Ovis aries: one gene and its partners. The protein of the gene in region 1 purifies or fractionates together with the protein of each later gene. This does not show direct contact. Links are inferred from orthologs where the notes say so. Each region holds a gene or a part of one and is shown in the gene's direction. Other genes may lie near its edges. The genes, in order: SMARCA1, POLE3 and chromatin remodeling regulator CECR2.

Region 1 (10,814 bases):
CCATCTCCCAGACACTTCAATATTGTGTTGATTTTTTTTTCATAATTTTTCAATCTCCTCCCTCAGTTGTCAGACTGGCGTCTAGTCGCTCAGTGGTGTCCAACTCTTTGCGACCCCATGGACTGCAGCATGCCAGACTTCCCTGTCTTTCACCATCTCCTGGAGTTTGCTCAAACTCATCTCCATTGAGATGGTGATGCCATCCAACCATCTCATCCTCTGTTATGATAAAGGACATAGATGTAACAAAATATTTCAAATAAAACAAATGTAACATACAAAATTACAAGTGATCCAAAAGGGAGAGGGAAATCACCTGAACACCCAGCAGAAGGGCTATTCCTGTAGTGGAACTGAAGTTTCAGTCCTGGGCTTTGGCCATTCCTCTTGCTGTTGCCAGGGTGTCTTCTTCAAATGGTGGTTCCCAGGTCATTTGCGGCTGCTTTTACTCTCTGTAGAATGGGAAGCCAGATTATCAATCATGCTGGAATTGTGTATATATTAAATAAAAGAAAATAGGCTCTGAATGAGAGGATTTTCACGATGCATAAAGTATATGAGAGTGGATTGTCTTCTGACGTTTAGCTAAGAAGGGTATTTTTGCTTACCTTCTGGTTCTTCTTCTTTTTTTTTTTTACCTTCTGGTTCTTGAACTTCTTTTTTCTAAGTGACAGTTGGATAACCCAATACCATGACAATTGGAGTTGGTATTTTTGGTAATGAAAATGTCAAGAAAAAGGTCATGGTCTTTAAACAGGACATCTTGGTGACCTTGTGCTGCATTCTTATAGCATCTAGACTACCAGATGAGAAAACCCATAAGGAATTCATTAGAATATCTTAGTTACCTTTTATATTTTCTGGGATGAGAGGTATATTTGTAAAAACATACACATACAAAAATGGGAAGGTTTTGAAGGTAGGTATTTTAAAATTTGTTGTGAAAGATAGTGCCAATTAAGTAATTGCCTACTGCTTTAAATGGCAATGCTCACAATTAGGAATTTTAATTATCATAGAATTAAAATTTTATGATATTCTACTACAAGGTAAGGAAAAACGTAACAAGTGTTTTTCTAATATTAAAGCTTTAGTTTTCTGTAAGTGAAATTTGCATTCCGCATTATTAGATATATACTTGTGTATTTGAGGAGAGGTTAATTTTTGAAACTTGTAGATTTCATTTAGCTTTTCAAGGAATGATAAAGGATTTTCTTTTTTTACTTTTTGCTTTGAAAATAAAAGAGAGTTTCTAGCATATGTGACAGTTTGAAAGTGTGGTATTGAGGGCATTTTAGTAGTTTCTATTCTCATCCATCCAGAATTACATTCAAAACATCCCACATATATACATATGAGATGCTGTAAATCAAGACGGCTGTTATTTGGGCTAAGAATAACTGGACAGTATCTAATCAGTGCTCCAAAGGAGAACCCTGATCAGGGTCAAATTCCATAATCTTAGTTTGGAGTTCCTCAAAATAGAAATTTTAATAAATGTTGGAAAACATTTATTAACTATCGGAGCCAGATTTTTCTTGTTTAAGATCACATCCTTCTATTGATTTATGACCCAAGCTTTCAGGAACATGCTGTTCCTGAAAAAAAAAAAAAAAAGCAATGCTCAAATGGACATAATTTCTTCAGTTTTCACGGATTTGTATTTTGACTTTGCAGACTGTGTTAAAACTTGAATGGCCTCCACTTTGGTACTAATGGGTAGATTTATATTTGTATTATTTTATTTCTTGATTTCTTACAGGGATGGAGGTATATTCTACATATCTGTTTATAAGTACAAGCTTGTCTTTAAAAAGGATAGAGTGACATGACATAACCCCCTAGATAATTTCAGTATTTTAAAGTAGCTGATTTATGTTGCTATTCACTAAGTTACAGTGTTTTAAATATCAAAGGTTAATAGCCATGAGAAACTGCTTTACAAGATATTCATATATATACTTTTAAAAGGTTTTCTGTCCAGTTGGAGAAAATTAACATAAACCAGAAGTTTGAAACTACTATTTCATTGTTTCAAATATAAATGATCACACTGCAGTACATAAAAGTTTTAATGTTCTATTTAAGATATAAAAACAATATTTAAAAATTACATCTTTTCAGGAGCAGAAACCACAGTCTTTTCTCATGAAAGTTTGGCTTGTTTCCATTACATAAAGAAGTACCTCTGGAATTAATATTTACTTTCCTTGAATTCTTTGGTTTATGGTTGAAAATATCCTAGATTTTGAATGTCCTCTTGAGTGGTTATGCACTTCTTTCACTTTACACAATAGGTGCAAAGGCTCATTTCCCACCTTTTGGTTTTTAATTAGTATTATTTCTCTGGCTTTACGATTCTTTGGATTTTTTTTTAATTGGACCTCAGGTGCACAGAACTGGATTAATCATAAGCCCTGTTCATGACATGCTCTCATCATTGGTCCATGCATGGCCCATGTGGATTTATTTATTTAGTATTTAATTACTTTTTATTTTCTTCAAATGAGAATGCTGACCTTGCTTTGCAATTTGATGATTTATTTTCTTTGAAATTCTAGAAAAACGTTTCTCCATTTCAACTCAAACTTGCTGTTAAAGCTTCTAAATCTGAAAAGGAAATGGATCCAGAATATGAAGAGAAAATGGTAAATATGTTCTTGGGTAGAAGAGTGAATACAGTAGTTGATTTTTATAGAGGAGATGTGAAAAATTAAAAAATACATGTCTGTATATGATGAATACAGAATCATAGGCTTTAGAATTGAAAAGTAATATAGAATCCATCATAATAGATTTTTGTTGGATAAATGAATCTCCTAATTTTCAGATGAGGAAATAGAGTATTGGAGAAATGATACGGAATAGTTGAGACCAGAAGCCACATCTCTTCATTTTTGTTTAGCCCTCTTTACCCCATAATAGGATATTTTACGCTAGAAATATTTTATCCACAAAGTGAAAATATAAGTGGCAATATCAGTATGGCTGAGAGAAAGCAGGTCACAAAACCAGCCTGGTATTTCTTTTCCTCTCTCTCTCTTTGCTCTGGATATGTGAATGAATGCTTCATATTATGAAACATGTAATATATGTTTTTGAGGGAAGGCTATTTGCCCAGTGTATGAAAATATTACACATTTAAGCAATATAACCTTAGATACACCTACCTAGTGCTTTGCTGTACATTTCATTATTTAAGTTTTACTCACCAAAACCCATATTTTAGCTTTAATTTTAACTGGACTTTCATGCCTTGGGATCTTTCAAAACCAGTGAACTTGGTTAACTGAAAAGAGAAATAAATGGGCAGTTGGAACTGAATATTTTTTTTTTTTTTGTCAAGGGGTTGTTTTTGAAAGTAAGTAGAGATAAAGTACATTTTTTGGTCATTTGTAGTGATTTTACAGAACTCAGTGCCTTAACGCTTAAGGCCACATCTAACATGGACAAGTTAATGTTTTAACAACTCTAGAAACAACATTCCAGTGAGGATAACATAAAATGGAAAGATTTTGGCCTCCTTCCAGCTACTGGTCTGAATGTATTTGTCTAATTCTTGTATTTATGGTAATGAATTCTTGGAAGATTTTTATGTTATTAATTATGCATCCTTCATTGGTAATCAAATATTGTCTACCCTGTGGTTAGAAAGTGACTGGGAATTAAAAAATCACCTTTTTTTTTTCTTTATCTAGAATGATAGTCTTTTGATCTTTTAAGATGTTTTTAGTGAAAAAATTTTACTGCATTTATTTTTATAAGCTATATGACCTTTTAAAATTTGTTTAGAATTTATAACATACACTTCTGAATTGCTAATGTTATTAACTGTTTCACTTATATGTGTGTGTTTGTGTGTATTTTTTCTCTAAATCCTCACTTTCGGGAGAAACTTTATATACTCTTAACATAAACCACAATTCCGCAGATCACTATACTTGAACAGAGAAATGTATTGTACCAAAGCATTGAAAATATTTTGAGAGAAGATGACACTGTATTCTGAGTTTAAATTATTTCTAGATGACAATTCTTGGCTTTCCAAACCATTCAGAATTTGCTTTTTGACCCCAATACTTTAAGCAGAATACTTATTGAGGCATTTATTAAGCCTGTCAGATCACTTGGCTTCTATTCAAACAATCTGAAAATACCATTTCCAAATTCTCCTTATTAGCTGTGGGAGCTTGGGCAAGTTACTTATCCTCTGTGTGCCTCAGTTTTATTTTTATCATCAGTAAAATGGGGATAATACTAGTAACTACCTCATAGATTTATTAAAAGAATTAAATGAGTTAGTATGTTTAAAGTACTTAGAGTGTAGTACAAATTACGTGCAATGTGTGTATTGTTAAATTTTGAAAGAACATAAAAGGAAATCATTACTTTTTCTTTTGTCTTGTAAATTAGAAAGCAGATCGAGCAAAGAGATTTGAATTTTTACTGAAGCAGACAGAGCTTTTTGCACATTTCATTCAACCTTCAGCGCAGAAATCTCCAACATCTCCTCTGAACATGAAATTGGGACGCCCTCGAATAAAGAAAGATGACAAGCAGAGCTTAATTTCTGTTGGAGAGTATGTTGGCATCTCTCTAACTTTCTTCCCTCCTTTCCTCCTGCCCTTCATACTTGCCTTCCTTCATGTATTTAGTGTGATTTTATATCTAAAAAACAAGGTTATCGCCTGTATAAATATGTTTTAGAGACAATATTTTTTTTTCTCAGTAGAAGTCAACCAATAAAAATGTCAGCTGGTTTTATCAACTTTTATGCAAGACTCTAGATAACTTTTTTTCATAAAAGATATTAACATAATATACTGACTTAATTGACAACTTAGCATTTGAATTGAATATGAAGATATTTCTTTTTCTGTTTCAGCTACCGTCACAGGCGCACAGAACAAGAAGAAGATGAAGAGCTCCTCTCAGAGAGTCGGAAAACATCTAATGTATGTGTTAGATTTGAAGTGTCACCTTCTTGTAAGTACCTCACCATGTTGGTGTTTTTTGTTTTCAGTTTAGTTTTAGAAAAATTTTACTTGGTTGTACTAATGAAAGTATGTGAGCCTTGATTTTTTTTTTTCCAGATGTGAAAGGAGGACCACTGAGAGATTATCAGATTCGAGGACTGAACTGGTTGATCTCTTTGTATGAAAATGGAGTCAATGGTATTTTGGCTGATGAAATGGTAAGGAGTTGGTAGCTAAAAACACATTCTCACTTATCAATAATTTTATGTAAATTTGAAATACCTGAGCTGAAATTCCCACCCGCCCCAGAGTTTGGAGGCTAGATGTTTTATTTAGCTGTAACATACAAGGTATTTGTAAAGTCTAGAATTGTTTAACCTCTGGAACATATGCTTTTACAGGCCCCTAAATTTGTTATTGAAATTTCCTCAAATGGTATTAAAAAAAAAAAAAAACCTCCTTGTACTTTTGTTGATATTTGCACTTTGGCTTCCAAGGAGCTCAGAGCTATAGTGAATGCCAAAATGGAACATCTGTGTAACTTTAAATGGTCTGCCCATTGTGTCCTTTGTGCCTTTTCCTATTCTTTACCTTTTACTTTCCTTGGCCCTCTTTATTTCTCTTTAACCATTAATTTATGTTCCATGTTTTCATTGTAGGCTACCTGAAATCCTTTTGGGACTGAGGTGGGGCTAAAAGCCAAATGCTAAATGAATGAATGCATGCATGAGTGAATGTAAATGCCTCTGTGTGTGATCAAACAAACTGTGAATAGATGGAATAAAGAACAAGAAAGTGAAGAGCAGTATTGAGTCTTGATAGTAGAGTGCCAGCTGGGTCAGGAAATGAGCTGAGGATTGATGGGAGGTATAGTTATCCCTCCGTATACGGGGGAGATTGGTTCAGGGACTCCCCGTGGATACCAAAATCTGTGGAAGCTCAAGTCCTCATGTAGAATGGCATAGCACAGTTGGGCCCTCTGCGGATTTTGATCTGCGGTTGGTTGAATACCTGGATGTGAAACCTGTGGATTCTGAGGGCGCACTGTGTAAAAAAAAAAAAAAATGACCAAAGAGAAAAAGTAAGGCCATGTAAGATGCTAATTCAGCAGGTCAGAGGAGTATATGAAGACTTGGCTTGACATTTTAAGACCAAATGTATATGGTAGGGGTTAAGAAAGGGCAGTGATACTCCAAAAATGACTCCGGAGCCATATTTGCAATCACTTGTCCATATGGGCCACATGACTAATTATGCTCCATAGCTTGTAGTGTAGTGGTTGGTTCCATAAGTACTCATCCCTGGCTAAGCAACTGGTAGGTGTGTAGCAGGTCCTTGAAAACTGCAGTCAGCTCAGGCAGGAAGGAGTTTAGTTAATTGTTTGCAACCCCATGGATTGTAGCCCCCCAGGCTCCTCTGTCTATGGGATTTCCCAAGCAAGTATACCTGAGGGGGGTGCCATTTCCTTCTCCAGGACAACGGAAAGACTAGGATTATTTGCCCCAAGCTCCTCTTGGCTGCAGCCTGTCTAAACAGGAATTAACTAAAGATATTTCATGTTGAATTTATGCTGATATCAGTTATGTTTTAATTATTAAAAAGGAGAAAGTTTAATGATGCTAGAAAATTTGGGAAAAAATCAGGAAAAAATTTAAAGTAAGTGTTTTTTTTTTATTACCTAGAAACAACAATACGTAACAGTTTGCATATTTCTTTTTAGTCTTTTTCCTCTGGTTTTATTTATTTTTCATTTTTGAGGTCATATTGTATATTTGATTTGGTATTCTGATTTCTTCACATTCATACATATTTTCCACATAATTAAAACATTTTGGTAAAAATAATTGTTAATTACTGCATAATAATTAATTATAGGGAGATAACATAACTTTATTCATTTCGTATGGATTGGTTGATGTATAATATATATATAGTATATATAATATATGTATATAGTATATATTGGTTGATATATATGTATCTACTTGATGTCTGATAATACTATTATGAGAACCCTTGTAATTCAGTTTTCTGCACCCCTCAGATTATTTCCATAGTATTTCTAGAAGTGGAATTACTTGGTTAAGGAGTATAAACATTTTAAGTTTTTTTTTCATTTTAAGATTTTAATGCATAGCATCCATAAAATCTATCTAAGTGAAATGTCAGGCGGGATAAAGCCTATAAAAATAGCTTTTAGCTTAGGTTTATAAAAGAAATATATACCTTGACTAGAGACAAAGTCAGAAAGTGTTTTAAAAGGTCATGTGACACAGGACATAGTTCCTTTTCCCGTAGGTTACGTAGTGGGTTCATGGGTGTTCAGTATATTATTATTATTTTTTTAAAGTCACCTGGACTAGGTTCCTTTCTGGCTGCAAAGTTCTTTTGTTTTGTTCTTTTATGATTCCTTAGGTCTTCAAGGGTATGAGATGTGAGTATAGAGCTATAGACCTCTTGAGATGCAGAGTCTGAATATTTCAAACCTGGGCTGTAATAATGTTGAAGGCAATGGGAAAGAAAGAGTGGTATCTAAGCAGGCTGACTGGGCTTCCCTGGTGGCTTAGTCTGTAAAGAATTAGCCTGCAGTGCAGGAGACCTAGGAGATGCGGGTTTGATCCCTGGGTCGGGAAGATCCCCTGGAGAAGGAAATGGCAACCCACCCCAGTATTCTTGCCTGGGAAATCCCATGGACAGAGGAGCCTGGAGGGCTACGCGTGTCCAACATTTTGTGACTAAACCACCACCACTAACACCAAGCAGGCTGATAAAGGAAATGTGTCTTTGTGAAATACACATAGTTCCTAATTTTGCAAACTAGTAGAAAAAATGATAGGGGTTGCTCACTCCTTTAGGAGTAAAAGTCTAAATAGAAAAATGCTTTGTTGAGCAACTTTCTAACTGCAAGTTCTTGGCTTCTTTTTGTGCTCAGCCTAAGTATTGAATTGGAATGGTTATTCACTTAAAAAAATTCTTTTAACTTTTCCCAATGTGAGATACTTGGCAGATATCTTTTGTAATGTTGCTACTAACAAATGTTTCATTAAATAAAACATGATTATGGATTTTTTTCTCTGTGATGATAATGCAGGGTCTTGGTAAGACTTTACAAACGATTGCTTTGCTTGGTTACCTGAAACATTACCGAAACATTCCTGGACCTCACATGGTTTTAGTTCCAAAGTCGACTTTACACAACTGGATGAACGAGTTTAAGCGATGGGTCCCATCTCTTCGTGTTATTTGTTTCGTTGGAGACAAGGATGCGAGAGTAAGTGAGAAACAGGTTTTAAAAGGCAATCAAGAATAACAACATTTCTGGGGTTAAATTTTGTTGCTATAAAAGACATTTGAGTTGACTACTGCTACTGAATAACACTTAAGTTGTGCTTACTCTGTGTTAGATTCTTTTGTAAGTGCTTTTTTAAAATACCACATTTACTTCTTGTTATCGACTTTTGTGTTTATCTCTGTCAATGTATTTATACATTTTTTAAAAATTGGAATATAGTTGCTTCACAGTGTTGTGTTTCTGCTGTACAGCAGAGTGAATCGGTTATATGTATACATATATCCCCTCTCTTTGTTTAAAATTTCCTTCCCATTTAGGTCACCACACAGCACTGAGTAGAGTTCCCTGTGCTATATAGTAGGTTCTCATCAGTTAGCTATTTTGTACATAGAGGTGTATATATGTCAATCCCAATATCCCAACTCACTCCACCCCCACTTCCCTCCTTGGTATCCATATGTTTGTTCTCTACATTTCTCTCTCAATTTCTGCTTTCAGATAAGTTCATCTGTACCAGGTAAGTGCTTTTCATATATTAATTGAGCTAATTCTCACAACACTCTTCTGAGGTAGATGTATTACCTATTCATAACAGAAAATCCATTATTATGCTTATTTGCATTTACTTTTAACTAGCTCATTAATCTAAGCACTTTTGAGTTGCACTGAGTGACTTTTTGTTTTAAAAAATCGTATTTTATTGACCATCTATCTTAGTGATTCTATCATTTGTGCTCTTTTGATGCCAAAAGTGTATAAATTTGCATTTCAGTTTGTTTAATTTTTTTACTTTTGACTTTGACTTGTTTACATGCACACATGCACATGCAGACACACATGAATGGAACCTTTTTCCTTGTACAGAGAACCTTGTGTTTTGTGTTTATGCATAGACACAGCTTTCAGTTTTGATCTTTGAATAGAAGAATAGGTGTCTGCATACATTCTTAGATAATATTAGAAATTAAGGGTTCTTGTTTAAATTAACCATTTGTCAATCTAGTAGGCTACAGTTATTTTAGGACTGTTGAATTAATCTAAAAATAATGAATTATGCAAAAATACCAAAATGAATAATCAGCTTAGAAAGCATATTATTAAACTTGGTCTTTATTTGCCTCCAGAGAACATAGTTTGGAGTAAAGATTTATTCTATTTTACATATTTAGATAGGTTATCAAAAGATATTCTCAAAAGAGTGGTAACATAATGAATTATGTAATTTTATTCTTATCATTTTGCTTGAAGAAAAATTACTTAAATTTATTTAAATTTAACTTATAAATAATTTAAATATTGAAATACTGAGCTCATAAATTTAGAATTACAGGCTTGATTCTTCCCTATGCCTCATATTTCCCAGTAGCAAATTAGTCACTTAGAACTCTTTCTGATTGCTGCTATTATTTAAATGTAATACCATTCCTTATAAAAATTTTGTATTTCTAAATTACTGATTTGTTTTGCTGTAATCTTCTTGAAGATCATAGATATTGAGAAATATCTGGGCTGTGTTTTCATTATGTCTTCAGTCAGTTCGGTTGCTCAGTTGTATCTGACTATTTGTGACCCCATGGACTGCAGCACACCAGGCTTTCCTGTCCATCACCAACATGTATGCCAGTGGTTTTCGATTTTACTATATGAACTCCATGGGCTCCATGAAGTGTCTGTGGGAGTTTTCAAGAAAGAGTGGATTTAATTGGTTACTGCCCTCTTTTTTTTTTTCTTTTTTTAAAATATGAATTTATTTATTTTAATTGGAAGCTAATTACTTTACAGTATTGTAGTGGTTTTGCCGTACATTGACACGAATCCGTCATGGGTGTACATGTGTTGTTCCCCATCCTGAACCCCCCTCCCACCTCCCTCCCCATCCCATCCCTCTGGGTCATTCCAGTGTACCAGCCCTAAGCACCCTCTCTCATGCATCGAAACTGGACTGGTAATTCGTTTCATATATGATAATATACATGTTTCAATGCCATTCTCCCAAATCATCCCACCCTCGCCCTCTCTCACAGAGTCCAAAAGGCTGTTCTATACATCTGTGTCTCTTTTGCTGTCTCGCATACAGGATTATCATTACCATCTTTCTAAATTCCATATATATGTGTTAGTATACTGTATTGGTGTTTTTCTTTCTGGCTTACTTCACTCTGTATAATAGGCTCCAGTTTCATCCACCTCATTAGAACTGATTCAAATGTATTCTTTTTCATGGCTGAGTAATATTCCATTGTATATATGTACCACAGCTTTCTTATCTGTTCATCTGCTGATGGACATCTAGGTTGCTTCCATGTCCTGGCTATTATAAACAGTGCTGCGATGAACATTGGGGCACACGTGTCTCTTTCAGTTCTGGTTTCCTCGGTGTGTATGCCCAGCAGTGGGATTGCTGGGTCGTACGGCAATTCTATTTCCAGTTTTTTAAGGAATCTCCACACCGTTCCCCATAGTGGCTATACTAGTTTGCATTCCCACCAACAGTGTAAGAGGGTTCCCTTTTCTCCACACCCTCTCCAGCATTTATTGCTTGTAGA
Region 2 (9,790 bases), on another chromosome or scaffold:
TACGAAATAACATTTATTTCTGATCGTTAGTATTTGTTTAATACAGAACTTCACATCCAAGATGATAACAGCAGATTATTTAAAGGGTATATTTCCTGTTCCATTGCTCAAGCTGCAATAATTGGAATAAGAGTCCAAGGAAGAGTTGGAACATATTAAATATATATGTGTATATATATATATATACACATATATATGATTATATATCTCTATGTATAGCAGTTATGTGATACATAAGTGTTTATGTATAATGGTTTTAACAGAGTTAAAGGTATAGTATGACTTTATATCATAAACCTCCAAAGGCAGTCACGTATATCCTAAATCCCAAGTGATATAGCATGAAAAACATGTGCCATAAAGTTTTTGAATATGACAAACAAATGAAAGAAAGAACAAAGACATATCTCTTAACTATACATTCAACAAATTGGAAAATTTAATCAATAATGATATCAAACTTAGCAAGCTTTCTAAAAGAAAATCTTATAGGAAATTATTACTTTCAGAAGGTTATTTGAAACTCACAGTAAACCTTTGCAGTGGTCATTAAAAATTATCCCACAAAGTGTTAACATGAGTTATCAAGAAATCACAGATACAATGGTCCCCCAAAGTAATATTTCATAACATCATGTAACATCCTATGAATTATTTCCTTATTTTTTCCAGATTGATCATTTTGCACTCATTTCTTCTCCTCAGTCATGAAATCATGCAGCTGAAAAATAATGTGACTGAGTTTGTTCTGCTTGGATTGACACAAGATCCTGTTAGGAAGAAAATAGTGTTTGTCATTTTCTTGATTCTCTACTTGGGGACATTGCTGGATAACCTGCTGATTATTGTTACTGTCAAGACCAGTCGGGCACTTGGGAGTCCAATGTACTCTTCCTTTTCTACTTCTCCTTATCTGACGCCTGCTTCTCTACTTCCATAGCTCCCAGAATGATTGCTGATGCTGAAGAAGACCACTATCTCTTTCAGTGAGTGCATGATCCAAGTCTTTACATTCCATTTCTTTGGCTGCCTAGAGATCTTCATCCTTGTCCTCATGGCCACTATGTGGCCATCTGTAAGCGTCTGCACTACACGACCATCATGCGTCATTGAGTCTGTGGTGTGCTAATGTCCTTGGCCTGGTTGGGTTCCTGTGTGCATTCATCAGCTCAGATTCTTCTAGCCTTAAGTCTGCCTTTCTGTGGTCCCAATGTAATTAATCACTACTTCTGTGACTTGCAGCCTTTGTTGAAACTTGCCTGTACAGACACCTATGTGACCAACCTACTCTTGGTGTCCAACAACAGGGCCATCTGTACAGTGAGTTTTGTCATGCTTTATCCTGTGCTATCATCTTGCATTCTCTGAGAAACCACAGTGCTGAAGGGAGGAAAAAAGCCCTCTCGACCTGCATCTCCCACATTATTGTGGTCATCTTGTTCTTTGGTCCTTGCATATTTATATACACTTGCCCTGCAACCACCTTCTCCATGGATAAGATGATAGCTGTGTTTTATAAAGTTGGGACACCTTTGTTCAACCCTCTGATTTATACCCTGAGGAATGCAGAAGTGAAAAATGCCATGAGGATGTTATGGAGTAAGAAGTTGACAAAATATGAATAGAAATTTCAAGATTTATTCAGTGTTTGAACTGACCTAGAAAAAGTCCATAGAGACCATTCTCGTCTCATTGTGAAGTTAGTATATTTCTATCTTAGGGTGTGCCACTGCCCTTAAGATTGAACAGCAGTGTGCACACATATACTTGTTAGTGTTGAGTCAATCTTATGTAGAGGAGGAAAGGACACTAGGTATAAGCAGGCTTTAAAGCCCAGTAGCTTAAATGCTGTGTCTTTATATCTCTCACTTGCCTGGCATTAATTTCTCTGAGGTTTTCATCTAATGTGTTCCCTGCCCTTCTTCACCTTGCTGTCTACTGTTTTGCTCCGATGTAACCTTGCCCTATATTCTTATATACACAACTTAGTAACTTTTTTGTTTCCTCAACCTTTTATTAAAAGCTTCTCTTTCATCATATCTATTCGATGCACACAACTGCAGAAGCTTCATGTAGTAAGAGACAGTATATAATCTAGCATTTTTTCTTTCAATTATTTATTGTTCAATCCAAATTGTTACCATATGTTTAACCAGACCCTTCCTTCTCAGATGGAATTAAAATTCTGTCAGTTTTTTTCAATATTAAGAAGGTTTTAATTGTTAAGTTTCTTCTCAGTTTAGCATTTTTAATAAAACCTACACTGTGCTCCTCACATGACGGAAGTGACTTAATCCACATGCACATTGTGCTCCTAATATGACTTCTGCTGATCTGGGGACAGTATTAAGGTTTCTCTTGAATCATGCCAATCATGATATTGAGAAAATAATGGTGGACTATTATAAATATAGTATATATATTACAAATTAAATAGATTTATGTGGGGTTGGAGATAGAGTGTAGACAGTTGATGTTAGTGAATTTCAAAATATTAATACATTGAATATGCTAAGTCAGAAGTTATTTCTATTTGAGAAAGAATTATTTATGTACATATATATGAATTATGAATTTCCTTTCTTGAAAAGGACAAATTAGAATCAGGAAAAAGTATTTCTGGTGGTTTCTAGAAATTCCAAAGAAGTAATGGGAACAATAGGTAGCACACAAATCAGTTTTAGTGAAGGAAAATAGTTCTGTTTTAGATACTTCAAAGACAACATACAAATGAACGACTCATATTAAAGATGCTCAATATTACTAAGTATTAGAGAAATGCAAATTCAGAATGGCCATCATTAAAAATGTCTACAAATGACAAATGTTGGAGAGGGTATGGGGAAATGGGAATTCTCCTACATTGCTGGTGTGAATGTAAAATGATATGATAGCTAAAGAGAACAATATAGAGGTTTCTTAAAAAACTCAATATACCTACTAAGTGAACCAGCATATGGATTCTGGATACATACTAGGAAAAAACCATGCTTCAAAAGGTTACATGCACCCTGATGTTCATCACAGTGCTGTTTACAATAGCCAAGACTTGGAAGCAACTTAAATGTCAACAGATGAATGGAGAAACAAAATACAGTATATATATATATATATATATACACACAATGGAATATTACCCAGCAATTAAAAAGAATGAAATATACCAATTACAGCAACAAGGTTTGATCTGAGATTATTATACTAAGTGAAGTAAGTAAGACAAATATCATATGATATGGCTTATATGTAAGAATCTTAAAATAAAAGATACAAATATACTTATTTATAAAACAGGAACACTCAGAGACTTAGAAAACACAATTATGATAACCAGGGGAAAAAGCAGGGAGGGGAGGAATAGACTGTGAGTTTGGGATTGACATGTATATGCTGCTATATTTAAAATAGATAATCAAGAACCTACTGTAGAGCACAGGGATCTCTGGTTAATATTCTGTAATAATCTAAATGGAAAAATAATTTAAAAGACAAAGGATGCTTGTATGGGTATAACTGAATCACTTTGCTGCATACATGCAACTAACACATTATTGCTAATCAATTGTATTTTAATATAAAATAAAAATATAAAAACAACTAAATGAACGAAAGGAAGGTTGTAAGGTATTGATATAAGAATAAACATAAAAATCACTGAAACATCATAAAGATTTTAAAATTAAAAAAAAATTTAAAAATACCAAAAAAAAAAGAAAGTCCAGGAATATACTTAAATAGATGAAAAGTTTTACAAAGATATCAAAGTAATTGAAGCAGAAATAATATATTTTTCAACAAATTATACCACATCAATTAGATATCCGTATATGAAAAAAAGGAACCTCAACCACTACCTAATGCGGTAGATGAAAATTAGCTCTAAATGAGTCATAGATCAAGAGGTCAAAGCTAAACTTATAAAAATTCTGTGAAAAAATTACAATCAAGAACCATAAAGAAACTAAAAAATTGAACATTGTTAATATTTTAAATCTTCTGATCATTAGAGATTATACATTTTAAAAATAAAAAGGGTGGGACGGAAGCCTCGCTGGGTCAGACTGTGGCGACGCGGGAAGTCCAGACGCCGTGGCGGCCTGAAGAGGAGGTCGCAGGCATGGTCCCCGGCCGCGACCATGGCGGAGAGGCCCGAGGACCTAAACCTGCCCAATGCCGTCATCACCAGAATCATCAAGGAGGCGCTCCCGGACGGTGTCAGCATCTCCAAGGAGGCCCGGAGCGCCATCTCCCACGCCACCAGCGTCTTCGTGCTGTACGCCACATCCTGTGCCAACAACTTTGCAATGAAAGGGAAACGCAAGACACTGAATGCCAGCGATGTGCTGTCAGCCATGGAGGAGACGGAGTTTCAGCGGTTCGTTACCCCATTAAAAGAAGCTCTGGAAGCTTATAAGAGGGAGCAGAAAGGCAAGAATGAAGCTTCAGAGCAAAAGAAGAAGGACAAAGACAAAAAAACAGATTCGGAAGAGCAGGACAAGAGCAGGGATGAGGACAATGATGAAGATGAGGAAAGGCTGGAGGAAGAAGAACAGAATAAAGAGGAGGAAGTGGACAACTGAGGAGGATGGGGAGACGCCCCTTGGAAAGAACCACGAGAAAACTTGGTACACGTTTGTGTGAAGCTTGTTCCGGCTGGGCAGAGTAGTCTTAGGCAGAAGAGCCTGATGAGATTGAAATAAAAACTGAATTAATCATCAGGATTATCTTCAAAGCCAGTGCTTACCAGACTCGGAGCATCTGAGTAGCAGAATCCTGGTTTGCTTAATCAGTCTCAAGGTTATAACTTTTGGCAAGAGGGATTCTGAATAGCAAATTTAATTGGTCAGTTTGATCTCTTTTGTTTACATACACATATAGTTAGGCAATTGTTGACCCCCCCCAGTTCCCTCCCTGCCCCCCAGAAAAGTAATAATAACTTCCATGCTGCTAACTGTGTCCCAAATCACAGAGGCAGTTCAGGCTCAGGAAAAATTGAGGTTTGATCACAGTCAACCTATTTGATTATACAATATTTGGCAATACTAGCTTATTTCAAGTGATAAGAATGGCTTAGCTTTAGGAAACTACTAAAAAGGTTGAAGAGAACAATAAAATCTGCTGTTTCTTCATTTGACAGTAACATTAATTTAATTTTGTTTTCTATAGACCCACTTGGCTTAGAGCCCTTCTATATTGCCTGTAGGCGTGTAACCTGCTTGGGAGGCTACCTTCTAGGCACATTGTTTTCAAATCCACAGAGCAGAATTAGTTAAGCAAGGTTGCCAATGTCTTACTCTTATAAAACAGATGGTTTAGTTTTAAATGCACCTCACTGCCTGCCACTGTACAGCTTCAGGATTTGTCATCATCTCCTGGAAGGTATAAAATTCCAGGTTTTCGTGTCCCGTAGTCCATCTTCCAGATTTGTGACTATGGCTTTTCGTTTTCCAATTCATGACAAGTTCCGAACTTTATTTCTACTAGGCACAGCTTTCTCCCTCTGTGCTTCTCACCACCTGTCTCTGTCCTGCCTCTCCTCTGCTCCCCATTCCCACTTTCTCTGTCCCTCTTTTTTTCACTTCTGCCAACCCAGGAACTTGGATGACCTGCAATATCACAGAGTATAGGTTCCTCTGATTCCCTAGTTCTAATCTCATGTCTTAAAAGTGATTTTGTAAACCTCTTTGACCCATGAGGGAAATCTGATGGTGCTCAGGAATTTACTTCCTCCCCTAACCCATCCCCTTTAACTGCTTCTAAGTATCTCTGTTGACCTTTCCAGGTGTTCTTCTATTTCCATTTGGTGCTCTTTGTATAATAAAAAACATTATTGTTAAAAAAATACATAAAAAGGCAATTCACAGAGTAGGAAAAAGTTGTATCTACATTCACATGTACAAAATTTTACATTATATATAAGTTTATGTGTAAAATTATATATGTAAATTCATTATATATATGATGCATATATATGAAAGAAGAACTATATCTAGAATATATATATATATATATATATATATATATATATATATATATATATAAAACCTATAATTTAGTGATGAGAAACCCAGAACTCCTATTTCAAATTGCACAGAGGTCTTAAAAAAAAAAAAAGAAACTTCTGGAAAAAGGTATAGAAATTGCCTGTAATATAACATTAAAAATTATCAGCTTCAGTAGTTATCAAGAAAGCAAAGTAAAACCTCCATAGTTTATCACTATATACTTCCTAGAAGGACCAAAATGGTACCAAGGGACAGAGATGTCAAATAATTTACTTTGAAATCAGAACTAATTTCTTGTGTTTTATGTATCTATGCACGTGTGTAATGTCACTTGCTCCTAAGTCACTTCAGTTGTGACCAAATCTTCGTGACCCCATGGACTTCAGCCTACCAGGCTTCTCAGTCCATGGGATTTTCCAGGCAAGAGTACTGGAGTGGGGTGCTATTGCCTTCTTTGGTAATGTCACTTAGTATTCCATAATGACTGTCACAACTTTTCCAGACATAACTTACTGGAAACTTTTCAGAGTTTCTCTCTCTCTATATATATAATGATTGTGAAAAACAAGTTTGTATTCAAATACTTTCAAATGGCCTCACTGCTCCACCTCTCAAGAAATCAGTGCTAGATTTCCAGGAACTTTGATACTGATAATAAGAAAGTTCTCTCTCTGACATGAGTGCACAAATTAACTACATCGCAGGTCCCAAGGCTGGAATACTGCTCTCCTTGTCATTCACATGACATTTGTCCTTCTTAGATAAACCAGGCTTGTATGAAGAGGATTCACCTATTTTAGCTGCAAGTGCAGGGAATACAACTCCTCACTCAAGAATGAGTGTTTCTCAAGCATGTCTCTTTGGAATACCTACTTCTAAGAAAAATCCTTTCCATCAAAGCAGATAATTAGTTCCTGGGAGAGAAAAGAGCAGCTATAAGACAAAGTCCTTGAACCTGTATTGGAGACTTGTTAAATATCCACACATGCAATTGGAAATGTCTTTATCTGTTATTTACATTTTTCAGAGAAAGACTTGTCAAGAGTTGAAAGATCCATTTGAAGGTGTTTCCACCACATTTATGCCTGCTGACTTTTGGAGTAGACCATCCATGGATGATCATTTCTCCATCGTTTTCTTTGTCAGTTTATTCTAAGTTCAAGTTCCAGGTTTTCTGTGAAATTTATTGACTCTTTAGGCTAGAAGGAAATATGTAAACATATAGAACGATTTATCTCCTATTGATTTTATATTGAGTTATCTGAATAGCTTCTTTCTGAATGTGTCACATCTTTCTTATTGAAAGTTCCTTATCCTAGGGCTTCCCTGGTGGCTCAGAGGTTAAAGCGTCTGCCTGCAATGTGGGAGACCTGGGTTTGATCCCTGGGTCGGGAAGATCCCCTGGAGAAGGAAATGGCAACCCATTCCAGTATTCTTCCCTGGAGAATTCCATGGACAGAGGAGACTGGTGGGCTACAGTCGACGGGGTGGCAAAGAGTCGGACACGACTGAGCGACTTCACTTTCACTTTCACTCATCCTAAGAGGAGGTCAGTTTGAACATGTGATTAGTTCTGAATACCCTCAAATATCATTAATATCATCTAAGAAAGACCAGAAGTTAAGTTCTTCAGTAGAGATGATGCTTAGTAAAGACTGTTACTTTACATATATTGTTGTTGTTCAGCTTCTTAATGGTGTCCGACTCTTTGTCACCCCATGGACTGCAGCATGCCAGGCTTTCCTGTCCTTCACCTTCTCCTGGAGCATGCTCAGACTCATGTCCATTGATATGAGTTTATGTATATGGCAATTATGTTTTAGTTCAGTTCAGTTCAGTTCAGTTCAGTCGCTCAATCATGTCCGACTCTTTGCAACCCCATGAATTGCAGCATGCCAGGCCTCCCTGTCCATCACCAACTCAAGGAGTTCACTCAGACTCACATCCATCGAGTCTGTGATGCCATCCAGCCATCTCATCCTCGGTTGTCCCCTTCTCTGCCTGCCCCCAATCCCTCCCATCATCAGAGTCTTTTCGAATGAGTCAACTCTTCTCATGAGGTGGCCAAAGTACTGAAGCTTCAGCTTTAGCATCATTCCTTCCAAAGAAATCCCAGGGTTGATCTCCTTCAGAATGGACTGGTTGGATCTCCTTGCAGTCCAAGGGACTCTCAAAAGTCTTCTCCAACAGCACAGTTCAAAAGCATCAGTTCTTCAGTGCTCAGCCTTCTCCACAGTCCGACTCTCACATCCATACATGACCACAGGAAAAACCATAGCCTTGACTAGATGGACCTTAGTCAGCAAAGTAATATCTCTGCTTTTGAATATATTATCTAGGTTGATCATAACTTTTCTTCCAAGGAGTAAGCATCTTTTAATTTCATGGCTGCAATCACCATCCACAGTGATTTTGCAGCCCCCCAAAATAAAGTCTGACATTGTTTCTACTGTTTCCCCATCTATTTCCCATGAAGGGATGGGACTGGATGCCATGATCTTCATTTTCTGAATGTTGAGCTTTCAGCCAACTTTTTTGCTCTCCTCTTTTACTTTCATCAAGAGGCTTTTAGCTCCTCTTCACTTTCTGCCATTAGGGTGGTGTCATTTGCATATCTGAAGTTATTGATATTTCTCCCGGCAATCTTGATTTCAGCTTGTGTTTCTTCCAGCACAGTGTTTCTCATGATGTACTCTGCATAGAAGTTAAATAAACAGGGTGACAATATACAGCCTTGACGTACTCGTTTTCCTATTTGGAACCAGTCTGTTGTTCCATGTCCAGTTTTAACTGTTGCTTCCTGACCTGCATACAGATTTCTCAAGAGGCAGGTTAGGTGGTCTGTTATTCCCATCTCTTTCAGAATTTTCCACAGCTTTTTGTGATCCACACAGTCAAAGGCTTTGGCCTAGTCAATAAAGCAGAAATTGATGTTTTTCTGGAACTCTCTTTCTTTTTCCATGATCCAACAGATGTTGGCAATTTGATCTCTGGTTCCTCTACCTTTTCTAAAACCAGCTTGAGCATCAAAGAGTTCATGGTTCACGTATTGCTGAAGCCTGACTTGGAGAATTTTGAGCATTACTTTACTAGCATGTGAGATGAGTGCATTTTTCAAAAACAATAGCTATTTTAAAGAATTAAATTTTAACATTTATTTTTAATTGTAAAAGAAAGAATTCACCTCATTCTTCTGCAAAATGTTGAAAATGACAGTCCCAGTGACTGAGCATATTAGTCTGGGTATTAGAAACCCAGATTAGAATCTTGCCTTTTCCCACCAGCAGCTTCTTGATCTGGGGTACATTTCTTGCAACCTTATATTCTTATTTCTTCTAATATCAAGTGAGAAGACTAATCCCCCTCACAGGCTGTTATGTGAATATAAATGTATCCAGCACACCACTGAAGACACACAGAGGAACTTTACTTATTTTTATGACTATTTTTCCACAGATGATTAGGAAGAATTGACTTTTTTGGCAATGCTACAGAAAAAAAAATAACCATACATTAAACTGAGGAACAGTCATCTCCAATTTTAAAGAAGCCAAAGAGACCCATGTTATGCATAGCAGTTACTCCAAAGAAGAGTTCTACATATTCATGTTTGGACTAAACAAGTCATGGTTTGTATCAATTAATAATCATGTTGATGCATTTTTGTGGGTGAGGTGTATTTAAATTTTGTTTCCAGTGTCATGATTAGTCTTAATTATTTAAAAATGTTTATGATGGCAAAATAAATGTAGATTAGAGAATTGAGTCTTACAAATTTCTTAATC
Region 3 (11,255 bases), on another chromosome or scaffold:
AGGAAGGATTCCCCCCGCCCTACATAATCAAGTCTAATCTGGATGAGAAGAAAAGACACCCCCAACTACAGTGAAAGATTTAAGTAGCACTTCAAAATAAATAATAGAATGATGACCCAAGGAAGTGGTTGACTAGTGAGTCATATACACTGCAGTTTCTCCAGTCAGAGGACCTGGACAAATACCCCTAAGAAGGGGTGTTTCAGGAAAGCTTTAGGAAGGAGGTGAGTTTGAGTGATCTGAGAAGTTGAGCTGTCTTTGTAAGCAATTGAAAGGGCAGGATCAAAAGGGAGGAGCAAGAAGATCCGGGGGTGAGTGAACCAGTTTGACAGGAGGGAAGGAGTCACTGGTTGGATGAGGTGGGGGTGGGGATCGCAGGTGAGGCTGGGAAGGCAGGTGGGAGCCAAACTCTGGCTTGAATTTAAGATTCAATGGAAAAAAAAAAAGACTCAATGGACTTTCATGCTCAAGGGAGAGTCATAGAATTTGGAGCAGGTGAATGACATGATTGAATTTACATTTTAAAGCTGGTTGTACTCTAAAGGTGAAAGCTATAGGGTTCAGGAACCATTAGTTAAGCCCCTCCTCACAGATGCAATACACATGCAAGAGATTAAGCCTTTTCTAAGAGACAGCCAACTTTCCTGACTATAATATAACTCACTTTCCACAATCTCTAAAATGTTAAAATTAGCCTGACTTATAGTCCTCTGTGGGAATAGTACCCTATGGAAGGTAGCTCTCTACTGAGAAAGGAGGGGTGTGCCAATACTTCATGATGGACCTGGACTCAGACGTGGAGACAACTAAGGTGATAGGATAATGGTTCTGCCTCACTACAGCTCCAGCTGGGCTCCTGGACTGAGTCAAGGAGCAACCACGTCAGGGTGGGCCGGCAAAGGGACAGAAAGGGCAACTGGAGAAGTGAGAAGCAGTGTAATCTGACTGGATGATCAGTTAGAAGATTTGAATTCTAGTCCTGGTTAGCAGGAAGAAACCTGGAAGAACCACACTTTTGTCACCTGCCTTCCGAGGTTCAAGTAATTATTTTTAGCTGATCATACAGAATTTGCAATGTATTTCTCAAAGAAATGCAGTTAGAAAATGCTGGTTGGTTCCCCAGATTATCCTCCAGGAACCTAGAGTAATCCCGAAACAGCTGAGATTACTGCAGTGAGTGAACCAGTTTGACAGGAGGGAAGGAGTCACTGGTTGGATGAGGTGGGGGTGGGGATCGCAGGTGAGGCTGGGAAGGCAGGTGGGAGCCAAACTCTGGCTTGAATTTAAGATTCAATGGAAAAAAAAAAAGACTCAATGGACTTTCATGCTCAAGGGAGAGTCATAGAATTTGGAGCAGGTGAATGACATGATTGAATTTACATTTTAAAGCTGGTTGTACTCTAAAGGTGAAAGCTATAGGGTTCAGGAACCATTAGTTAAGCCCCTCCTCACAGATGCAATACACATGCAAGAGATTAAGCCTTTTCTAAGAGACAGCCAACTTTCCTGACTATAATATAACTCACTTTCCACAATCTCTAAAATGTTAAAATTAGCCTGACTTATAGTCCTCTGTGGGAATAGTACCCTATGGAAGGTAGCTCTCTACTGAGAAAGGAGGGGTGTGCCAATACTTCATGATGGACCTGGACTCAGACGTGGAGACAACTAAGGTGATAGGATAATGGTTCTGCCTCACTACAGCTCCAGCTGGGCTCCTGGACTGAGTCAAGGAGCAACCACGTCAGGGTGGGCCGGCAAAGGGACAGAAAGGGCAACTGGAGAAGTGAGAAGCAGTGTAATCTGACTGGATGATCAGTTAGAAGATTTGAATTCTAGTCCTGGTTAGCAGGAAGAAACCTGGAAGAACCACACTTTTGTCACCTGCCTTCCGAGGTTCAAGTAATTATTTTTAGCTGATCATACAGAATTTGCAATGTATTTCTCAAAGAAATGCAGTTAGAAAATGCTGGTTGGTTCCCCAGATTATCCTCCAGGAACCTAGAGTAATCCCGAAACAGCTGAGATTACTGCAGATTTTGCAAAAAGAAATTCAAATATTTTTTGCCACATCAATTAACAAGCGAAACAGGTTAGTCAAACTAAGTATTGTGTGTGTGTTTTTAATGGAAGATATTTAATTAGCAGATGGTATGGAAGTGGAGGTGGTAGGAAATCTGGAAGAGAATTTCTTTTGGCACTTCCAAGGTCATCTCAGATCAACAGTGCTCACAAACAGAAAAGAGGCAGAGAGGGCAAAAGAGAGAGACAGAGAAAGTATGAGAGCTGTATGCCTTTTGGGAACAGGATAAGAAACAACTGGTGTTTGTAGGGTGAGAAATGGGCCACCCTTAAAAAGGCAGGGGCAGGCAGCGCTGAGAGTCCTGGGAAGAAGGAAGGAGGTGGGTGTCCTGGGAGGTACCAGGGTCAGTGATCCAGGTCTCAGGAGGCTAGGGCGAAGCCAGCCCAAAAAACAGATTTGAGGCAGTTAAATCCCAGGGGAAAGGTGGAACAAACAGTCAAGGATCGTGGGTATCAACTCCAACAGAGGCAGAGGAAGGGGTGGGTACAAATGTGACCCTCCAGACAGAGCCAGAACTTGAGGAACCCGAGGAGACACAGAAAACCTCTGGGCTGGAGGAGGAAGACCTGCTCTGGTGGGGGGGGAGGGGTTGGGGGGAGAGTCACAGCCGATCAGAGCCAGAGAGGAGAGAGAAAGAAAGAGGGTTGAAGCTGTGTGCCTGTCCAATGGGACACCGAGTGGTGACCCTCAGATGAAGAAGGCAGCCTGGGGGCAAGCGTGCTGAGGATGGGGCGGGACCAGCACCAACGAGGGGTGACCCCCTCAGCCACCACCAGCCCTGCCCCCGCCCCCCACACCCCAGGGTAGCGTGGCTGGATTCAGGACCGGGCAGTGTGTGGGGAGGGCAGCGCTCATTCAAACAGGCCAGAGTAACCCAAACTTGTCACCTTTCTGCTTGCTGGTATGTGACTTTTTAGGCTCTGTGACTACCAGGCTGGGGCCCAGATCACCAAGGGACAGGTAAGATGGAAAAGGGTAAAGGGCAGGATGAGGAGCCAGAGGAGAACCGGGAAAAGGAGAGGAAGCAGAAAGGCAGGATGTAATGGATTAGAAACAAATGTGAAGGGAAGCAGGAAGCCTTACACAAGAGAGAAGGAAAGGTGCGGAAAGCCAGGCTGATCCGTGCGGAAATGCAGACAGACAGGGGTTAGAGAGTCCCCAGAAGAGAGTGCGAATTCAGGTCAGGTGGGTCACCCCACGGTGCGTGTCATCCTTCCCACACCTCACCTGGTCATCGGGCATCTGCCTTGGAGCTGCGCGTTACACACTCAAGTGCAGCCTCTGCTCCTGGGGGCGTTCAGATAGGCGCTCATTTTTTTCAAAGATGGACACGTGGTAGCATCTGCGGGTGAATTCTAAAGCATTCAGTAGCTGAGGTAATAGGCGAGCACAACTACCTAAGTTTGGGGCAGGGGGCGAGCGGCAGGGTAGTGTGCAGTGTTGGATGAAGTATTTTCTTCCAGTAAAGATCTAGTTAAATACACATGTTCTTTAAGATTTTTTTTTTTTAAATGCTGGCTTATAAAGAAAAAAACCAGGTTACTAAATTGATGGGAATAAAACGAGGGAGGGAATAAACCGGAGCCGCACTCCATAACATCCCAGCTGAGTGCGGCCACTACGCCGGCCAGTCCGGCGGGCGTCCGCGCTCAGAGGTCCCCACGCGGATCCCCGAGCAGCTGCGCCCGGGACCGGACAGGACCGGAGCGCAGGCGGCCCCCGGGCCAGGGGGAACCACCCCCACCCCCACGCAGCACCCCGCGCACCGCGGACGGCGAAGGGGAGGTCTCCCCCGGCCGGGGAGGGACGGGAGGCCGCGGGCTCTGCCTGGGTGTGGGGTCCGCCGCCCGGGACCCACGTGGGCGCAGCCCAGCGAGGCGCAGCCCGCCGGCCTCAGAGGGGCGCGACCCCCGGCCACGTGGGGGCGGGGCCCGGCGGGGCTGGGGGGCGGTGCTCGACGGCAGCCCCGCCCCCCGGCCCTCGGGCGCCCCTCCCCCGCCCGAGCGCGGCCCGCGGGCGGCGGGCGGGGGCGGGGGCGGGGTTGTTGTTGTGCCGAGGCCCCGCCCCCGCCCGCCCCCGGCCCATCTGTTCCCCGCGAGCCGCGGCGACATTGTGCGGGCTGGGCGGCCGGGCCGCGGCGCGATGGGCCCGGGGCAGCCGCCGCGGTAGCTCGGCCGGAGCGGCTCCGGGAGCGGGCGGGCGGCGGGCGCGGAGGCGGCGGCGCGGCCGGAGATGCGCCCCGAGGAGGGCGGCGCGGCCGGGCTGGGCGAGCTGCGCTCGTGGTGGGAAGTGCCGGCCATCGCGCACTTCTGCTCGCTCTTCCGCACGGCGTTCCGCCTGCCGGACTTCGAGATCGAGGTGCGCGGGCCGGGCCGGGCCGGGGGTTCGGGACCCGGGTGGGGGGTCGGGGCGGCGGCGCGCGGGGACCTCCGAGCGGCTGGCTGCGAGGGACTGAGCGGGGGGCTGAGCGCGAGGAGCGCTCCCGGCCGGCCCGGGTGGGCGGGCGGGGGTCGGGGTCCGGGCGGCGGGGACCCGGGCGGCGGGGAAAGTTGGGCCGTTACTCCGGGCGGCGTCCCGGCGGGCGCAGCGCGGGGCCGGGCGGTCCGCGTAGCGGGCGGCGGGCTTTGTGGGGCCCGGCGGGCTGGCGGGCGGGCGCCCCCGGCCGGCGCCCCGACCCCTCCCCCGGCCGCCTGGGGCCGAGCGCGCGGCCGGTCGGTGCCGCGGCCCCGGACAAAGGTGCGAGGCCGGCGCGGCCGGGCCGGCGAGCGGGGGCCGTGGGTCCGCCGCCCGCGGGGGGCGCGCCCGGCGGCAGCCGGGAGGGTGCGGGCCGCCGGGCGGGCGGGCGGCGGCGGCGGCGACGACAATGCGGCAGCCTCGGGTGCGGGGGCCCGGCGCCGCACGCCGTTCTCAAAGTTGGGACGTGACTCGGACGAGCACGGCTTTTTCTAAAAATGTGAGTGGGACGGCGGTTCCCGCGGACTGAGGGGGAGAAACGGCAGATTAGGGAATGCTGAGCGTCAGGACTTGCTCCACAACTGTCCCGAAGACCCCGTGTTTCCTTTTAGTTGGTCAAAATCCTCAGCACTTTAATTCTGCTGCTCAAAATGGTGGCTGCGGTGGGAGGTGTTGTGGTGACAATGCCGTCGTGGTGCCGCTAAACTTGCCCCTGCCCCATTTTCTCCCTGAAATGTGATAAAACTGAGGCGGTGCTGAATTACAGGTTAGAGTTCACGAGCCCCGTCTAAAAACACTGTGGAGAAAACTTCATCTTTCAAAAATCCAAATATTCCGATTTGGTTGATTGGGAAAAAAAAAAACAAGAGGTAACTAATTTTGTCCTAAATTGTTACAGAAATCTAGAGTAATTTATAAATAACGGCTTATGTTCTAAGAAATAAATCTGTGGTTTCTAAGTATTAGCTGCTTTAATTCCAAAAGGAAATGTAACCTGATCTGAGAGGTCCAATTTGTATGTATAACAGAAGTGAAAAATCGTTGCTACAGGTGAAATCAGGGCCACTTGAGATGAGTGTTTTCGCTTCGGATCCCAGTATTTCTTGGAAGTGACACTTTTTGGTGGTTGTAGTTAACGTGTATGCTGTTTGAAGTATATACGAATGAATATTTGGAATTCAGCTTGTACGTATTATGGTGGTCATCCATACCTCTATAATTTGGAGATGTTCAGTCGATGGCTAAGTAATAATGACTTACTCCTGCAATTCTTCTGTAATCTTTTTCACATGAATATGTTTTGATGAATTTGATGAATACAGGTTTAAGTTTTCACTAATTATCAGAAATTTAAAATTTCAAAGTAAGTTTTAGGTTTCTAGCAAATTTGATTCTGAGAGTGCAGAACTTACTGAGAACATGATCAGTTTTGATTCTCTAAGAAATAAATTTATTTTGGTTAGGTGATTTTTTTGTTTGTTTTTAATCTAATAATTTACCATTCTGAAAGGTTGAAGAAGGATCACTTGATTACAGTTTATGATGCACTGGAAGAATCTTAAAAACAGACAAACAAAAAACAGTACTAATACTGAGTTGTACCTGTTAGGACGACTGGAAGGACCCTATAATCTTAATTTAATGTAAGTTTAAAAGATAGAAATGAATAATACCAAGTGGTAGAAGTTGGATATCAGCTTTTTTAGGAAACTAGTTTTCAGCTGTGGGAAAGTACTCATCTTACCCTTGACAACCAAACTGAACCCATGGATTTAAGAAAATTTAGGAAGCAGAATCTTCAAGGACTTGGCTTCTGTTTATCTAAAACAAGGCAATCTCTTAGATAGCTGACAGGTTAGGAGCATTCATGGTGCAATTCTGTAAGAGGTCAAGACCTTCCATTTAACTGGTCCCCAAAGCATGGATATTTTTATTTTTGCATGTAAGAAAACCTTTTTCCTCTGGTAATTAGCCTTGAGTGTGCAGGATTTAATTAGAAGAGTGAGTATACTAGATTCTTGTGTTTTGGGTTGTGTTTAGGGACATCTGTATTGCTGCCCCTCAGATAGGGGTTCTGCAGTCATCAGATCAAAAATCTGCAAATGTGAAGACATATTTTAAGTTCAAAATTTGTGGTTTTAAAAAGCAGTGCATAATCACAATATAAAACTTGAAAATTATAGCAAAATATAGGTAAGAGAATTAAATCACCCATAATCTCACCACTCAGGGATAAAAACTGTTACTTAGAAATTCCCAAACACGTTCACAGCGTATTTGTGGCCCGTTTTAATTTTCCAGATGAGGAGACTGAGCTGTGTGTAGCTGGACAACTGTAGGTTAATGATACTGAATTCAGTGGTTGGTATTATGAAACATCTGTTACTAGCTGCTTAACTGGATGGATTACCAAAGAAGCTCATGGCACACTCCTTTGCCTCAGGATTATCAAATTCGGGACCACTTCACTTATATCAAGTTTTCTATGATTGTTTAACATTCCAGTGGACTAAGCTGGCTATGTTTTGTCCTGATTAGAGAATGAAGAATGGTGAATTGACCTTCCTGAAGATTTAGTACTGGTTTTCTTTTTTCCCCTAACAAGTGCTCTTTACAGTGAATAGCATCATACTTAACTAGACTGCGGTTAAGGGAGGATAGACCATCTTCAGTGGTCTTGTCTGGAGTTAATTGTGATGGATATAGGGTTGCAGGGAGAAATTCCATTATAAACATTTTGGGTATATTTTCTCCAGAGAAGAAACCATGGGGCCTCTGTGTGATTATTTGAAAATGGTCATGTAGAATTACCTGGTTCATACAATGGCAACATGATCAAAATAATCTGATTTTTATTACTAAAAGTCCCGTGTACTTTTTTTTCCCCGAGCTTTCTGCTTTGAGAACGAATCCTTTGGGTTGAATCCTTAGGCATGAATTACAGAGCATTATTATGTTTATTCATAAATATTATTCATAATTATGAAAATAAGTGATAGAAAAACGTGCTGAGAGAAACTTATTGGCACATCAGCCTTCGTTCTCTGGGCCCGGGGCCCAAGGACGGGTTACGGGAGATTTTGTATTGGTGTACATGCATGTACTTTCCTGTCACTTTCACCAAATTTTGAAAGCAACTCCAACCATCCAAAGTTAGAAGGCCTTGAACTAGATGAAAGATTTAAGTTGGCTTTGAATAGGGGAACCAGAGGCTAGTTTCATGACATGAGATGCCCTGGATCCGAGTTAGAAAACTTGAATTCTTATGCTTGTTTTGCTACTACTGCCTCTGTGACCTTCGGCAGGTCAAGTAGCCTAACGGTGAAGGACACTTGTATAGCACTTTGTACATTTCCCAAATGTTTTCTCATTTTATCCATCGTCATCATTAATCATTACTGGGAATTAGCAGTTTTGCAGATGAGGAAACTGGAAGTTTAGACAGGCTGGGTTTCTTGCACAGACTCTCCCCTGGATCTCAGCCTCTTTGCTGGTGCTGCTGTGTCACACAGCTTCCACTTTAGTTTTCATTATGTATAAAGCGAAAGGCTGGGCCTAGGAGTGGCCAAGATCTCACAGTGCAGATCTAGAGCTCTTGGGCTCTTAAAAACGTGGGGTACAAAAGATCCTTTTAAAGGATCTTAAAATACAGATCTTAAAGGACCCGTATTCTGCCGAATGCAGAGGGACAAATGATTTCATTTGGTTCTTTCAGCAAATGCTTAGCATCTACTGTGTGCTAGATGCAGTATATGAAGTGCTGGAGATACAGGTGTGAATATAACACAAACACCCCTCCTTTAGTGGAAGGAGACAGATGATAATAAATTGGCACAGAGAGGGCCAAGTTGGGGCGGTGGGTTGTTACAATTTAAAATAAGGTGATTAGGTGTGGGAGGGGTTTCTCTGGTGGCTCAGACAGTAAGGAATATCTACCTGCAGTGCAGGAGACTTGAGTTTGATCCCCTGAAATGGTCGGGAAGATCCCTTGGAGAAGGCAATGGCACCCCACTCCAGTACTCTTGCCTGGGAGATCTCATGGACAGAGAGGAGTCTGGTAGGCTACAGTGCATGGGATTGCAAAGGTGTGGGTGGCCTCATTGAGAAGATGGCATTTGAGCAGGACTGAAGGAAATAGGGGACTTAAAATTATTTAAGAACTAGTAGTTTGTGGGACTTCCCTAGCGGTCCAGTGGTCCCTGCGCTTCACTGCAGGGTGTCAGGTAGATTCCTGGTCAGAGAACCCACATGCTGCATGGTGCAAAAATTAGTAGTTAGTTACAATGAACTATTGAACGGAAAATATCAGATGATCAGTGTCTCCTGAAGACTCAGGATATGCTCCTTCTCTGAGGAGGAAAGCCCAAGAACAGGATGTGAATAACAGATCTTGAAACCTGAAAGGGGGGACTGCTCCCTCAGAGTGTAACTCCCTCCAAGGTGAACCCTAGATCCCATTCTGCTTATACCAGGGTCTTAAAGGGGAAGTTGTTGTCTTCATCTTCATTTGCCTGTTCGAGAAGCTTAAAAGGGTAGTTAGAGATTCTCCAGTTGTGGAAAGGGCAGTATTCTCTCATCTCTGAAGGACAACTTATGTGGCTTGCTTTACCATGGAAGTTCAGTTCGGTCTTGCTTAATTTTCTGGAACACAGTGAGGAAGCCCAAAATACGACTTGGCAACATGGAAGCATTTGGTTCAACCGACTGTCTGCCCTTTGATCGGGAGAGGCTGAGGGTTGAATTCCAGTTTTGTTTTTTTTTTAGGGGCTGGCTTCTTGTGGTGTGGTGGGTTGGGGGTAAGAATGAGGAGCTCTGGCATTGCTGGGAAACTGCCAGTGCGCACGGTGGTTTAGATAAAAAGTGGGTGTGGACAGAGTCCAGGGGGACAGAAGGCACAGTTTCTAACTAGATGGCCTTAGATATAGCTGATGGGATTGAAGGTACTTGTCAAAGGAATCATGCAGAGAGCCAGAAACCTGGACTGTGGACCCACGTCTGTCACTACCTGGTGCTGCGGTCTTAGGCAGATCATTTGGCTTCAGATGCCCTATCTATAAAAAGACAGTTCTGGACTAGGTGATTTCTAGGATGTTCCCCTGGCCAAAGTGCTGCGATTCCCCTGAGATGTTTCTCAGCATGCACGGCACAGGTAACTGATCCAAAAAGTTTTCCTGAGCTCATTGGTTAGGGCCAGGTGGCTCAGACAGTAAAGAATCTGCCTGCAAAGCCAGAGGACCCGGGTTGGATTCCTGGGTTGGGAAGATCCCTTGGAGAAGGGAATGACAACCCACTCCAATATTCTTGCCTGGAAAATCCTATGGACAGAGGGGCCTGGCAGGTTACAGTCCATGGGGTCGCCAAAAAAAGAGTCAACTGAGTCACTAACAGTTTCACTTTCTTTTTTGATACGCTGTGTTGGGGTCCCTGTCTTAGAAATTAATTCCGTACCAAATTAATGCAGCACATCCACACTTCATGTCTTCATAGATTGTATGAATTTGTCTTTCTGTGGAAATCCTGTCTGCAAATACATTACATTGAAGGTAGCTTAATTGATGCTTCCGCTGTCTTCGAGGTCCTTTCAAACTAAGATTTTGTATTTTGAGATTATGAGAAACTCAGGAAGGTGAAGGTCTTAAATTGTGTTTTTTCCCTTCACTTCTATTTTTTCACTTAAATTGAATATCGTTCAACACGTAGAACTTTGAATGGAGGCGGGTAAAGGTTCTGGTCTGGGGCTGTCCTAAGTTTGATGGCGAAGCTTTCCAGGCAGCTGTGCCCCCCTTGCCTGTATTTTCCTGTTTCACGGGACTCTGTTCCTTGAATGCTTTTATATTGTCCTCTCTACAGGAGCCTCTAACAAATACTTATTTATTCTGGAAAATGAACTTGTTTATTCTGGAAAACTCTGGAATTCTCTTTCTTTGATTTAGATAGGAGTCTTCAGATGGTGGTACTGAGCTCAGGATTCTCCCAGCCTTGTTGCACCAAGGTATTCAGTGCTGACCACTGCCGCGTGTGTGGCGGTGGTGCCTCCTGTCCCTGAAGAACACTGGGCCCTGAGGTGGGGGGGACTCCTCCCCATAGGCAGTCCCGTTCTGGATGTAATGTTTTTTTGTGTAGGGTTGAAGGGATTTATTTATGCTGAGTTTGCCATCATCAGCCTGGGAAAACAGTTGAGTTCAGTCGCTCAGTCATGTCTGACTCTCTGCAACCCCATGGACTGCAGTACGCCAGGCCTCCCTGTCCATCACCAACTCCCGGAGTTTACTCAAACGCATGTCCATCAAGTTGGTGATGCCATCCAACCATCTCATCCTCTGTCATCCCCTTCTCCTTCTGCCTTCAATCATTCCCAGCATCAGGGTCTTTTCGAATGAGTCAGTTCTATGCATCAGGTGTCCAGAGTATTGGAGTTTCAGCTTCAGCATCAGTCCTTCCAGTATTCCAATGAATATTCAGAACTGATTTTCTTTAGGATTGACTGGTTGGATCTCCATGCACTCCCAGCAACTCTCAAGAGTCTTCTCCAACACCGCAGTTCAAAAGCATCCATTCTTCGGCACTCAGCTTTCTTTATAGTCCAACTTTCACGTCCATACATGACTACTGGAAAAACCAAAGCTTTGACAAGACGGACCTTTGTTGGCAAAGTAATGTCTCTGCTTTTTAATTTCCTGTCTAGGTTGGTGATAACTTTTCTTCCAAGGAGCAAGCG

The links.
Region 2: the proteins of SMARCA1 (region 1) and POLE3 purify together in Homo sapiens (affinity purification with mass spectrometry; 3 studies listed by BioGRID and IntAct, with this or other methods). This does not show direct contact. The link is inferred for Ovis aries from reciprocal best matches to the Homo sapiens genes SMARCA1 and POLE3.
Region 3: the proteins of SMARCA1 (region 1) and chromatin remodeling regulator CECR2 purify together in Homo sapiens (affinity purification with mass spectrometry; 3 studies listed by BioGRID and IntAct, with this or other methods). This does not show direct contact. The link is inferred for Ovis aries from reciprocal best matches to the Homo sapiens genes SMARCA1 and CECR2.

Annotation. Positions count from the first base shown.
Region 1 is NC_056080.1:113,456,095-113,466,908, reverse strand, and holds part of SMARCA1 (probable global transcription activator SNF2L1), read left to right. Parts: intron 1-2,377; exon of another isoform or gene 2,378-2,448; intron 2,449-2,561; coding exon 2,562-2,648; intron 2,649-4,413; coding exon 4,414-4,580; intron 4,581-4,885; coding exon 4,886-4,986; intron 4,987-5,093; coding exon 5,094-5,194; intron 5,195-8,067; coding exon 8,068-8,247; intron 8,248-10,814.
Region 2 is NC_056057.1:708,036-717,825, forward strand, and holds POLE3 (DNA polymerase epsilon subunit 3), read left to right. Parts: upstream 1-4,036; 5' UTR 4,037-4,136; coding exon 4,137-4,580; 3' UTR 4,581-4,696; downstream 4,697-9,790. UniProt on the Homo sapiens protein: Accessory component of the DNA polymerase epsilon complex. Participates in DNA repair and in chromosomal DNA replication.
Region 3 is NC_056056.1:214,767,833-214,779,087, forward strand, and holds the start of chromatin remodeling regulator CECR2, read left to right. Parts: upstream 1-4,195; 5' UTR 4,196-4,315; coding exon 4,316-4,441; intron 4,442-11,255. UniProt on the Homo sapiens protein: Regulatory subunit of the ATP-dependent CERF-1 and CERF-5 ISWI chromatin remodeling complexes, which form ordered nucleosome arrays on chromatin and facilitate access to DNA during DNA-templated processes such as DNA replication, transcription, and repair.